2 linked regions of the Arabidopsis thaliana genome follow. The protein of the gene in region 2 purifies or fractionates together with the protein of the main gene of each other region. This does not show direct contact. Each region holds a gene or a part of one and is shown on either strand. Other genes may lie near its edges. The genes, in order: AT1G48610 and LTP3.

What was found.
Region 1: the proteins of LTP3 (region 2) and AT1G48610 fractionate together in Arabidopsis thaliana (co-fractionation; one large-scale study listed by BioGRID). This does not show direct contact.

What each region holds. Positions count from the first base shown.
Region 1 is NC_003070.9:17,969,268-17,975,882, reverse strand, and holds AT1G48610 (AT hook motif-containing protein), read left to right. Parts: upstream 1-2,480; 5' UTR 2,481-2,802; intron 2,803-3,079; 5' UTR 3,080-3,084; coding exon 3,085-3,573; intron 3,574-4,453; coding exon 4,454-4,516; coding exon of another isoform or gene 4,517-4,561; exon of another isoform or gene 4,562-4,769; coding exon 4,770-4,856; 3' UTR 4,857-5,272; downstream 5,273-6,615. Other genes in the region: HON5 (high mobility group A5), read left to right, coding at 1-800, 1,337-1,411, 1,505-1,735; ATHAL3B (Flavoprotein), read left to right, coding at 5,803-6,114, 6,195-6,488. UniProt on the Arabidopsis thaliana protein: May bind DNA.
Region 2 is NC_003076.8:23,924,862-23,931,239, reverse strand, and holds LTP3 (lipid transfer protein 3), read right to left. Parts: upstream 2,287-6,378; 5' UTR 2,190-2,286; coding exon 1,852-2,189; intron 1,758-1,851; coding exon 1,748-1,757; 3' UTR 1,424-1,747; downstream 1-1,423. Other genes in the region: LTP4 (lipid transfer protein 4), read left to right, coding at 5,468-5,796, 5,935-5,944. UniProt on the Arabidopsis thaliana protein: Plant non-specific lipid-transfer proteins transfer phospholipids as well as galactolipids across membranes. May play a role in wax or cutin deposition in the cell walls of expanding epidermal cells and certain secretory tissues.

The sequences.
Region 1 (6,615 bases), on a different chromosome or scaffold from region 2:
CTACTGCTCATGGAGCTTTGTTGACACACCATCTCAAGACTTTGAAGACCAGTGGGATTCTTGTCATGGTTAAGAAATCTTACAAGCTTGCTTCTACTCCTCCTCCTCCTCCTCCTACTAGTGTAGCTCCTAGTCTTGAACCTCCCAGATCTGATTTCATAGTCAACGAGAACCAACCTTTACCTGATCCGGTTTTGGCTTCTTCTACTCCTCAGACTATTAAACGTGGTCGTGGTCGACCTCCAAAAGCTAAACCAGATGTTGTTCAACCTCAACCTCTGACTAATGGAAAACTCACCTGGGAACAGAGTGAATTACCTGTCTCTCGACCAGAGGAGATACAGATACAGCCGCCACAGTTACCGTTACAGCCACAGCAGCCGGTTAAGAGACCGCCGGGTCGTCCTAGAAAAGATGGAACTTCGCCGACGGTGAAGCCAGCTGCTTCTGTTTCCGGTGGTGTGGAGACTGTGAAACGAAGAGGTAGACCTCCGAGTGGAAGAGCTGCTGGGAGGGAGAGAAAGCCTATAGTAGTCTCAGCTCCAGCTTCAGTGTTCCCGTATGTTGCTAATGGTGGTGTTAGACGCCGAGGGAGACCAAAGAGAGTTGACGCTGGTGGTGCTTCCTCTGTTGCTCCACCACCACCACCACCAACTAACGTAGAGAGTGGAGGAGAGGAGGTTGCAGTCAAGAAACGAGGAAGAGGACGGCCTCCTAAGATTGGAGGTGTTATCAGGAAGCCTATGAAGCCGATGAGAAGCTTTGCTCGTACTGGAAAACCCGTAGGAAGACCCAGAAAGGTAAAATATCATTCCTTTTTGTCTCTGCGATTACACAGTGATTATAGAGAACTTGAATATTTCTAGTCAAATAGATAAGAGAATAAAAGTTGGAACTTTTGTCTTGTGAATAAATGTCACTTTCCATTCTCAACATTGTCTCTTTCGAGCGTGTGTGTGGAGACTAGAGAGTATCTAACTAAATAAATTCTAGAGTTTAATTTATATTCGTGTCTCTGCTTTTGGCCTATACTTAATCTGGTTTTGTGGTGTACTATTAATCTAAGATATCTCTTTGTTTGGTAATCAAGAGCAACTTGGTAGGTGGCTCGCTTTAGCAACCAATAATTGTTCAGTTGAAGTGTGAGAATTACATATGAACTTATCTTTTGAGACAGACATCTTATCAAGTTTTGTCTGTTTTAAGCAGAAATTTAGTTAATTCAGTCAAAGTTCAAGAGTTTGTGTATTTCCAAGTCCACTAGAATTTCTTTGTCTATTATATTGATGAGTTAGTTATCTAATTACATTTATATTATTGCCATTTATAAACATAGAATGCGGTGTCAGTGGGAGCTTCTGGACGACAAGATGGTGACTATGGAGAACTGAAGAAGAAGTTTGAGTTGTTTGTAAGTAATCTAATGAACAGAAACACAATATGGTCCGTCCTTGGTTTTGATACTTAATTGCTTATGCTTGGTTTTGATATCTCATTTATGCAGCAAGCGAGAGCTAAGGATATTGTAATTGTGTTGAAATCCGAGATAGGAGGAAGTGGAAATCAAGCAGTGGTTCAAGCCATACAGGACCTGGAAGGGATAGCAGAGACAACAAACGAGCCAAAGCACATGGAAGAAGTGCAGCTGCCAGACGAGGAACACCTTGAAACCGAACCAGAAGCAGAGGGTCAAGGACAGACAGAAGCAGAGGCAATGCAAGAAGCTCTGTTCTAAAGATAAAGCCTTGACATAAAAAGCTAGCAAGTGGTGGGTTTACTTGTTGTGTGTTACATGAAATTTTTAATCTTATAAGGGTGTTTGCAGGAGAAAAACAAAAAGAACAATGTGATGAACTGATGATGATGATTGTGTCTCTAACCAAACAACAAGGAGAGGTAGGGTAATGTCTGTAAAGTGAATTAGGATGTTACCATTGTTCATGCTTCCCATCTCTCTCCATCGTCCATATCTGTGTAGGCAGCTTTGTTCTTTGTTCCCTCGTGTTTTTTTTAGACTGTTGTGTCTCTTATTCTATTTTGTCTCCTTAGGCTTTTTAGGAGTTGTTGTTGATGTTTATCAAAAACGCTTATGTAATTTTTATGACCACTTCTACTTTTTATGATGGTTTCTTCAAGTCTCTTACGTTATGTAGTTAGAAAACCATTAAATAAAAGTTGCTTATGTCAGTTGCTCTGTTTTAATTTGAAATCCGGTTTTAATTTTAAGTGTACTTATTGCAGAAATTAGGTAGAAGGTATAGAACGGTTTTACTCTTCACTCACACACCATTTAACCAAATTTCTAAATTTATTACTCGATAAACACTTTTTTAACAAGTTTTCAATACTTTTCTCCAAAAAAATTTTGAATTTGAAATAAAGTAGTGTATTTTTCGATTTTGGTTTTATAAATCAACTTTTTTTTTTGAAAAAGTTAAAAAGAAATCACCACCACATTTGCATGTTATACTATAATACCAAAAAATTAATATTCGTGATTTATTTTAAAAATCTGTGAATTAAAAAGAAAAATGAAATGTTGATAAATAAAAATAAAAACAAGGAGTAAAGGTGGACCCATATCGGTTGACGCAACTGATTCTGAACCTCTCGGTCGTTCGTTTCTACTCTTTCCAAGCTCTAGCCCATGGTGGTGACCTTCTTCTTCTAACCGCGAAAACCATCTCTATCTCTCTTATCTTTCTTCTCCGCCAAGTTTCTCTTTGTAATTTCTTTCTTCTTCCTCCAGATTCTTCAAGCTTCCTTTACCATCTCGCGAATCCTTCTATTAAGTTGAACAAGGTACGTACATTGCGATTTGCGAACCCTAGTTTTTCTCAAAACGAAATCTCTACGCGTGAGAGCCTGAATCTGTGTTTTACAGTCTTCGTTTCTAGATTCTAGGTTTGTGACATTTGAAATTTCGTTAAGGTTTTAGCGAAATCGAGTTTCTGGTTGTTTAGTTTAAGTCTAGTCTCCGTTGATGTCCGTTTTTGCTAGGGTTTTGATTCCGATTAACCGCCGTTTTCTCACATTTTGCTTTCTCTTTTTTTTTTTTTTTTCTGATTCGCATCTACAGATCTCATGGCGAAAACAGCTCTTACTCCTCCCGCGTCTGGTTCCGAAGTTCCAAGATCCGGTACACCTGGAGATGCGTCTGGCAACAAACCTCAAACGGATGCCACCGGCGTCTCAGCTACTGATACTGCTTCTCAGAAACGCGGTCGTGGTCGACCGCCAAAGGCTAAATCTGACTCTTCCCAAATCGGTGCCGTTTCTGCGAAGGCGAGTACTAAACCAAGTGGTCGTCCGAAAAGAAACGTAGCTCAGGCTGTTCCTTCTACGTCTGTGGCGGCGGCTGTGAAGAAACGTGGTAGGGCAAAGAGGTCGACTGTAACGGCGGCTGTGGTTACTACTGCTACTGGAGAGGGTTCTAGAAAACGAGGGAGGCCAAAGAAAGATGACGTGGCGGCTGCAACTGTTCCAGCAGAAACTGTGGTGGCTCCAGCTAAGAGACGTGGAAGGAAACCTACTGTCGAAGTAGCTGCACAGCCTGTGCGCAGGACTAGGAAGGTATGTTTCTCTTTAATTTCATTATCTTTATTCACAAAATGTCAAAAGAAATTTAGAAATGGTCTGATACCAATTATATGATTGTTCTTGACTGTTTGTTCTGTATAGTGTGGAAATAATTCAGGGTAATGTCTTATTTGACTCTGGTCTCAAATGTGGTCTACTTTTAGGATTGCAGTATCTGAAATTCCCCGTATTTTTAGAAAAATGTGTATCTTATCTGGATTTTGGTGTATTTTGGGAAAATGTCTTATTTAATATTGTTCTTCTTGACTGTTTCTTCTGCATATAGTAGATAAAGTTCAGAGTAATGTCTTTATTTGTCTCAAATGTGGTCTATTGTGAGTGTGAAGTATCTGATATTATTCGTAATTTCTTTGAAAAGATGTGCATCTTATCTGGATTTTGGTGTATTTCATTAAATCTTTTTTTGTATAATGTGGAAGTGAAAGTGATTGGTCTATTTGGTAAGAAGTTATCATGTAATTTGAGTCCAAATAAATTTCACAAGTGTTTAGTTCATGTTAGACATAACAATGCTTAATGTATAATTTTAACAAAAGGTATATACCAATTATACGGTTGTTCTTGACTGTTTGTTCTGCATATATAGTGGAAAAAGTTTAGAGTTGTATGTTATTTGTCTCTGGTGGTCTCAAATCTGGTTAATTTTAGGTTCTGCAGAATTTGAAATGATTCGTAATATTTTGAAAAGATGTGTATAGTATCTGGATTTGGTGTATTTCTTGAAATCTATTTGGTTAGTCATTATCATTTCATTTGAGTCAATATCTACAAGAGTTCATGTAAGACATAACCATGCTTATACAACTGTGTGTATACTTATGTCAAAGTCGGGTTTTCTATGCATGAACAAAAGAGCACTTCAGTGGCACCGGTAGCTGCAAACGTCGGAGATCTCAAGAAAAGAACCGCACTCTTAGTAAGTGAACTATCCCCACTTAGCTTCTATAATGGTTTTTCGTAAACATTACTGTATCCCTGCATCAATTTGATTTAGACATTATGTTGTGTGGAGCACAAAGGATACTAGCAAGTCAACAGAATTGTTAGATTATGTCGTATAGCCTAGAAGATGGAATTGAATGGTCATTTGATTAGTTAATTAAAATGGATTCATTTCAACTAAAAAGAAAGAATCTGATGATAAGTTACTGAAATGAAAAATGTTGCAGCAAAAGAAAGTGAAGGAAGCTGCAGCTAAGTTGAAACAAGCAGTAACAGCAATTGACGAGGTCCAGAAGTTAGCGGATGGAATGTAAAAGAAAGCTACTGATATGACTGAATCCTACAAGGGATAATGATGATCGAGAAAGAAATCTTCGTATGTGTTTTAGGGAATTTAATTAGGAGAAAACATTCATTTGGAGGAAGACTGATTGGTTGTTAATGTTTGATTTTCACTTTAGGGTTGTTTGTTTGTACGTTTCTAGGATTTTGCTACCAGAAGAGGTTTAAACAGTAGTGTTAAAATGGTCTATGTGTAGCTCGGAGATGGGGGAAACTTTCACTCTTCCTTCTGAATTTGATTTGCTACGTCTTTGTTATCAAGAATTGTAACATTCTTTTCCTTTGAGGTTTATGAATTTGGAGTTATAAGAAGCTTAGTAGAAACCTAAATATCTCTGAAACTGTCAAATATCTTCACTAATTTGAAAATCTTATTCTGAAAACTGACACTAGTCTAATAAACATAATTGATAGTTTTCTATATATTAGAATCTATAATCGTTATGGTGCAAGGGAAACATAGTTGATTGTTAATAAAACAATTTAGGGGGACTTGAGAAACATTAACATTCGTATTTGTGTGACTGGGTCATAGTCTTACTGAACACAAAACCAGAATAAGGTTTTTGGATTGTTTCAGTTTCTTGTTGGGAAGGCCCATTTTTGATTAGTCAACGACCAGATTGACCAGCGATGACGTCGACTTCTCTGTTTTGTTTTCAAACTTAAAGACCCTCGCGGCATTTGATTTCGATTTCCGATTAGGGTTCCTCGCAGATCCTCCTTCCTCGGCTGTAACAAGGTAATGTCTCTAACACAAACTTTTGAATCCATTGATCTCTCGCTTCCTTTCTGATTTGACAAAAGATGATCGTTAAAATCCATGTTCGGATTCTGAATTCCTCTCTGAGAAATGAGAATCTCATAGATTGTTTGTATAAAATTTGATCCTGCTTCTGGATTCAGATAGAGAAGAAGATGAATATGGAAGTGGATACAGTAACAAGGAAGCCTCGTATCTTACTAGCTGCAAGTGGAAGTGTGGCTTCAATTAAGTTCAGTAATCTCTGCCATTGTTTCTCAGAATGGGCTGAAGTCAAAGCCGTCGCTTCAAAATCATCTCTCAATTTCGTTGATAAACCTTCTCTACCTCAGAATGTGACTCTCTATACAGATGAAGATGAATGGTCTAGCTGGAACAAGATTGGTGATCCCGTTCTTCATATCGAGCTCAGACGCTGGGCTGATGTTATGATCATTGCTCCTTTGTCTGCTAACACATTAGCCAAGGTACTAATAATCATAGGAAACGTAGCTTTAGATCTGGATTTTAGCTATTTGGCTTCATATTTGTTTTTTTGTTGTTGCAGATTGCTGGTGGGTTATGTGATAATCTATTGACATGTATAGTAAGAGCATGGGATTATAGCAAACCGTTGTTTGTTGCACCGGCGATGAACACTTTGATGTGGAACAATCCTTTCACAGAACGGCACCTTGTCTTGCTTGATGAACTTGGAATCACCCTAATTCCTCCCATCAAGAAGAAACTGGCCTGTGGAGACTACGGTAATGGCGCAATGGCTGAGCCTTCTCTGATTTATTCCACTGTTAGACTGTTCTGGGAGTCACAAGCTCGTAAACAAAGAGATGGAACCAGTTGAGTTTTACTTAGCCATTTACTGCTCTGTTTGCTCCAGTCATTATCAATTAGCCCATGTCATAAATGTAACTTTGTTCTTGAATACACTAAGAACAAAAAACATCGATTACCCTTGAATGTTATGCAGA
Region 2 (6,378 bases):
GAAGTTAGATACGCATTTACTTTATTCTTGTTTCTTCCACTAACGAGAAAGAATGTTTTGCTATAGTCAAATGTAAACAATAGTACGTATCTTACTTTTATTTTTTATACTTTTATTTTGTATATTTTCGTATTTTAAGATATCATACTTTTGAGCGATTCAGAAGATTTGAATAGTAATACTGATAACATGCTTTGCTAAACATACGTTAGCAAAGCATAACTAATCTTCGATATCGTACATATATAATCAATAGTTTGCTAGCTATGTGTACGGACTATTTCAGTACCGTTCATATTTCAATTCAATGCAATGAGAAACTAAGGAACATATCTAAGTGTATCCTCCACCAATTTAATTTGTTTTTAGCTATGAGTACTATATCTAAATTGATCTATATATTTATCAGTTACTATGTACATTAACTTTTTGTCGTCTATATCTTTATTTATTTTAAGATATATGTTTTGATTCAAAGCAAGGTCATCACTGTGCATATTTTTCTCTTAAAAAGTTAACAGTTAAAAGGATGGAGATGGCGGTTACTGGTTAGAAATCGGAGATTTAATTATGCCAAATCTCAATTACCGTCCAATTAGTGCAATGTATAACTGAGGGACACGTGTATCCAACATCAAACATGACAAATTGACAACTCTCCCAACCAGCTTATTTGAAGAATAAACCAGGAGCAGAGTTTAATATGTAAGTCCGGTTATCGGAGTCCTTAAAATTAAACCAAGCTGGTTTTGGAAATTGAGCAATATATGGTTTCAATAAGTTGAAGATTCTGGGCCTTTAACGGACCTGATGAAAGCCCAACGCACATTACGGGTTTGAGTCAATGACTATGACTTGAATGTCCTAAAGGCTAAGCTCCAAATGTTGACCAAATCAGGAGATCAATTCTGACAATTTTTCACTAGCAACCATACTTTGAAAAATGCTATCTGATTTGAGAGTATCAGATGCGGTATAATGGGCTTAACCGCTTAAGTCGCTGACGAGGAACTTGAGATGGCTTTGCGTTATTGCGTAGTAAGGTATTACAACACGATATTGGACGAAATTTTGCATGACATTAGTAACTTGACGCAAACGCAGAGTTGATAAAATTTGCATGACATTAGTAACGATTTTGTCCAAAAAAAAAAAAAAAAAATTTTTTTTTTTCTTCGATGCATAATCAAATCGTGAAGATTGATAACATTGTTCTTAGATTAAAAAAAACAATGTTGTTAGGTGTTTGTTATTTAATTAGGATTATTACTTTTGTTATTTAATTAGGTTGGTCAACGTAAAGTTTTATTTTTTCGGATAATGGTAAAATTTCTATTGCAGATGCAGCAGCTTTTACTTTATCAGTATGGATGAGAGATTTATTTTTTTGGGTTAAAGGAGAAAAATCATTGAGCATGTCTTCTTCGTATAAATATCAATTTTATAAATAATGTCACTCCAAAACTAGGAACTTAATATTATTGGTTACTTAATAGTTATAAAACTCTTCACATATTATTATTACGTTCGTATGCGTTGGAGGAGATATCTAGAAAGAAGATGACTAATAAGGTACTATTATCATAGTTTTAGCACATCAATACAACATATGATATGAAAATAAGACAAAGCATTGAGACAAAAACAAATACATGGTAATATCAGCTAAGATATATAGCCGTATTTTATTCTAGTACTTCTGGTAAACCATACTCTTAACGCCAAAACGACGACGTAAGCTTCCATTTCACTTGATGCTGCAACAATCCAAACGATCAAGAGAACACATTTTGTCATTAGAAAAAATAATTCATGGTCTCTAGATCAAGTAAAACAAAACTAAATACTTACTTGTTGCAGTTAGTGCTCATGGAGATTGGATATGGAATGCTAACACCGCACTTTCCAGGAAGGCCAGAGGCTAGACTTGGGTTGAGACCAGAAATGCTCTTCGCAGTGGACTGGATGCATCTGCAAGCTTGTTGGCGGTCTGGTGTGGTTTTAGCCATACTGTTCAAAGTTTTGACTCCTGCACAACATGAAGGTGGCACCAACCCACCTTTTGATAGATAGGTTGCACATGGAGCCAAGCTACCTGCCACTGTGCCACATGAGATTGCAGCATCGACTGATGCAACTATGCACACCGTTAAAACAAGGCATGTGAAGAACCTCAAAGCGAAAGCCATTGTGTTTGAACTTCTTTTTGGGTGATAACAAAATTAGTTGAGTTTCGTTTTCTTAGCTTATGTTTTTGTTGTTGGATATGAAAAAAGTGGGAGATGATGATGGGTTTATATAGGGATTTCATATGGGAAAATATGATGACTAAGTAGGGTTTGTTAGTAGTTGGATTCGCATTTACTTCATTCATTCCTTCTAGTTTATTCTACTAAACTGAGAATTAAGATTTTGTCAATAGTAGTATCACATCGTTTAGTATGTACTACCTCTCTCTATTTTTTTTTATTTTTTTTTATCAAACCTCTCTCTAATTCTAAAAAATGATTTCTAGATTTTTTTGTTCCACAAAGATTAATTTTCCAACTTTTTAATACAAATTTTGTTGATTATAATACTAAAATGAATTGTAAACTTGAAGGACTATTTTGAAAATAAAAAAAAATTATTAAGTTACTATTGTTTTATGATTATTGAAAATTGTTTAGCTAGTAATTTTTTTTTTTTTTTAATATGTGTGAAATTTTTGAAAATTAATCCTTTTAGACACAGAAAGAGTAGTATTAGATATTACAAAGATATCAAAATTGTTTTAATTTAAAAATTTCACTAGGTGTTTTTAATAACAATTTGGTTATCTTAAGCTATAATGCTTTGAGCGATGCTTCAAGATTTAATAATATCGCTTGGAATCGACAAGACTAACTGGAGAAGACCACTTAGCAAATTAGTAGAAAGCATTGCGATGAATTTTGTAAAATATAGCATCTCCTTAACATTTTCAATTTTTTTTTTTTTTTGAATTCATAATTCATATGCTGTATAATCATTAATTTATCAGCTATTAGTCGTACTATGTGAACTAGATTTGAATAATGACATGCCGTCTGATTTAATGCTATGTGTAACTGACGGACACGTGTACCCAACACTAGACATCAGAACTCTCCCAACTAGCCCAATCACATTCTCCTTTTCCATTGGACCACCTTTCATCTGCTTTTAATTAACTGTGGCCATAAGACTTAGTGAAAGAAAAACAAAAGTTGCAGTTTTTAAACTCTTAAATATAAAGATGAATAAATTTTTTTATATATGATCACAAATTTTAAATGATTCCAACAGTTTCTTATGAAGTACTTAGATTTTCAATACCAAAATTCTTAGCCTGGTGAAGGAAGCCAAAATATTGTTTTATTTGTATGAATTTTGGTTAAGTCATTATTCTAGAATTGTAATGAAAGAAAAAGAATGATGAGCATATAAAGTAGTGATTAATTAGTGGTTCAATTTGAGACGCGGAAGTAGTTTGTAGTTGGTAGTTGGTAATTTGAAATGTGAAATGTGACTTGCATTTACTTGTTTTTCCTCTTCCAGAAATTTGTGGATTATATTATAAAAGATAATTGGTGAGTATTTAAGGTATATTTTTAGTACAATCAAATACATTATTATTGTAATTGTAAGACCATTGCATTCTGAAATTTTGGATTTTTTTATTGTTAATATTTATATTTATTTAAAGGATTCCTTATAGTACAAGGACCTTAATTAAAAATTGATTTCAGAATAGTAAATGCAGTAATGTGTATAAAAGTTGAAACAGCTTTAAGACATTTTCCATAAAATAGTTGTAGTAGTTTTTACAAGTTTACTATAACTATTTCTTTTAGCAAAAATAAATTATATTTGTAACCTGTTGTGTATATCTTAAGGAAAACTAAGAAAGCTCTACCATTTATAAAAGCCATTTTTTGACAAGATGGAAACCATAAATCAAAGCTCACAATAATCATCATAATCTTTGGAACACCAAGGATTCTTGCAGTTTCATATGAAGATTATACGGAATTGCACTGATTATTTTAGTGTTATTTTAAAATGATAATGATATTTTATATATCATAAATTTGATATAAATGATGATATTTTACAGAATGAAATGTTGTTATACATACTATACCTTAAGAGCATATAACATGATATAATTGCTACATTAGTGTCGGTAGAGGTTTGTGTAGTCAAATTGTGACTATTAAGTACTACACATGTGAGACATTTATCAATCTTGTACGATGTTGCTTGACGGTTTTTGGCTGATAGTATCCAACACCATACATCAACCTTTCACGTCCCAAGCTCTCTAAGACATCGGAGAAGCATCATCACATGCGTACGTAGAAAGGAAACACAAAAGTTAAAGACATTTTGTAATATGTGTAACTATGAGACATATATGAGACTGCATGTGACTATGAGTTATATATGGCTTATAGAGCGATAGTGTTATGGAGATTATATTGCATTCATGCTATGTACTGCATAAGACGAATTCGGTTTCGTGTATTTATTCCCGCTTGAGTCTAGAATTGGTTTCAAGTATAGTTAGAAAAAGACTGTTTTTTTCGTCCTATTATGGTTCGTATACAAAATTATGCATTGAATTGATGTGGCATTCACGTAAAAATCTTCCTGCAGGGCTATAAAACGTATTTTTGGCGTACGATTATAATAAATTTTGTTATTATTCAGATTATTTATTAAATCTTTTTTGTTGTTGACAAACGCATTTATGTTAATGATTATACGAAATATCGAGAAAAACTCCATATAGCACCTCTATCATTCAATTATGTAGTAAGTCATAAAATGTGAACTTTGCTAATTATAATGGCCATAATTAGTAAACGTGATGGGAGAATTGTGATGTTTAGTGTTGGATACACGTGTCTATCAGCTGCACATCGCATTTAATTGGACGGTATTACATATATAGTACACATAATAGCTGACATTTCATCTACAACGAAGATACAAATTTTTAAACGATTTTCTCTTGTCTACTACAGTATAACATCGCTCTAAACATGCTAATTAAAAAAACAAGTTTAATTAACTGCAGATAAATGAATATATATTTTTTAACAGTATAGCTGTATATATATTGACGTATTGGTCTTTGTACATTCTGAAAACTGATACTATTGTTTACATAATTACATATGACTGGAGAAACTAATTATTTTGGTTAGTAGAAGAAACATAACTACATATGACTGGAGAAACTAATTATTTTCGTTAGTAGAAGAAACTAGAAAGAATGCATGAAGTAAATGCAAAACCAACTACTAACAAACCCTACTTAGTCATCATTTTTCCCCCATACGAAATCCCTATATAAACCCATCATCATCTCCCACTTTTCTCACATCCAACAACAAAACACAAGCGTAGAAAACAAAACTCAACTAATTGTGTTATCACCCAAAAGAGAAGAGCAAACACAATGGCTTTCGCTTTGAGGTTCTTCACATGCTTTGTTTTGACAGTGTTCATCGTTGCATCAGTGGATGCAGCAATAACATGTGGCACAGTGGCAAGTAGCTTGAGTCCATGTCTAGGCTACCTATCAAAGGGTGGGGTGGTGCCACCTCCGTGCTGTGCAGGAGTCAAAAAGTTGAACGGTATGGCTCAAACCACACCCGACCGCCAACAAGCATGCAGATGCTTACAGTCCGCTGCAAAAGGGGTTAATCCAAGTCTAGCCTCTGGCCTTCCTGGAAAGTGCGGTGTTAGCATCCCCTATCCCATCTCCACGAGCACCAACTGCGCCACGTAAGTTTTTAATTGAGCAGTACTGCTCATATTCTCTCTAATATTTTTTTTTAACTTGGCTAATTTCTCGATCTTGAGACGATGACTTAATCTTTCTAGTGATGTAATTTATACTCTTGATCGTTTGTATTGTTGCAGCATCAAGTGAAGTGGGGAATAACGACATCATTTGCCTGAAGAGTATGGTTTCGTATACGTAAAATAAGACGGCTATCTAAGCTGATATTTACCTTGTCTTTGTTTGTCTTGATGGCTTTGTAATCTTTTGCTTTGTTATGTTGTATACTTGTGTCTTAACATGTTTAAGATATGATAATATATAGTATCGGTACCTTATTAATCACCTTCTCTTTATAGTTTATATATCTTTCCGCCAACGCACTCATACGTAAAAATCATATAGTGAAGAGTCTTATAACCAATAATATTAAGCTCTTTTTAAACAACAAAAACCATATTATAAGCTCTTAGGTTTGGAGTGAAATTATAATTTTGAGATTGGTAAAGTGTAAACCAAATTCTATATATAAATACGAAGAAAAAATGTTGAATGGTACGGTGTACCTCATCCAATTATTAACT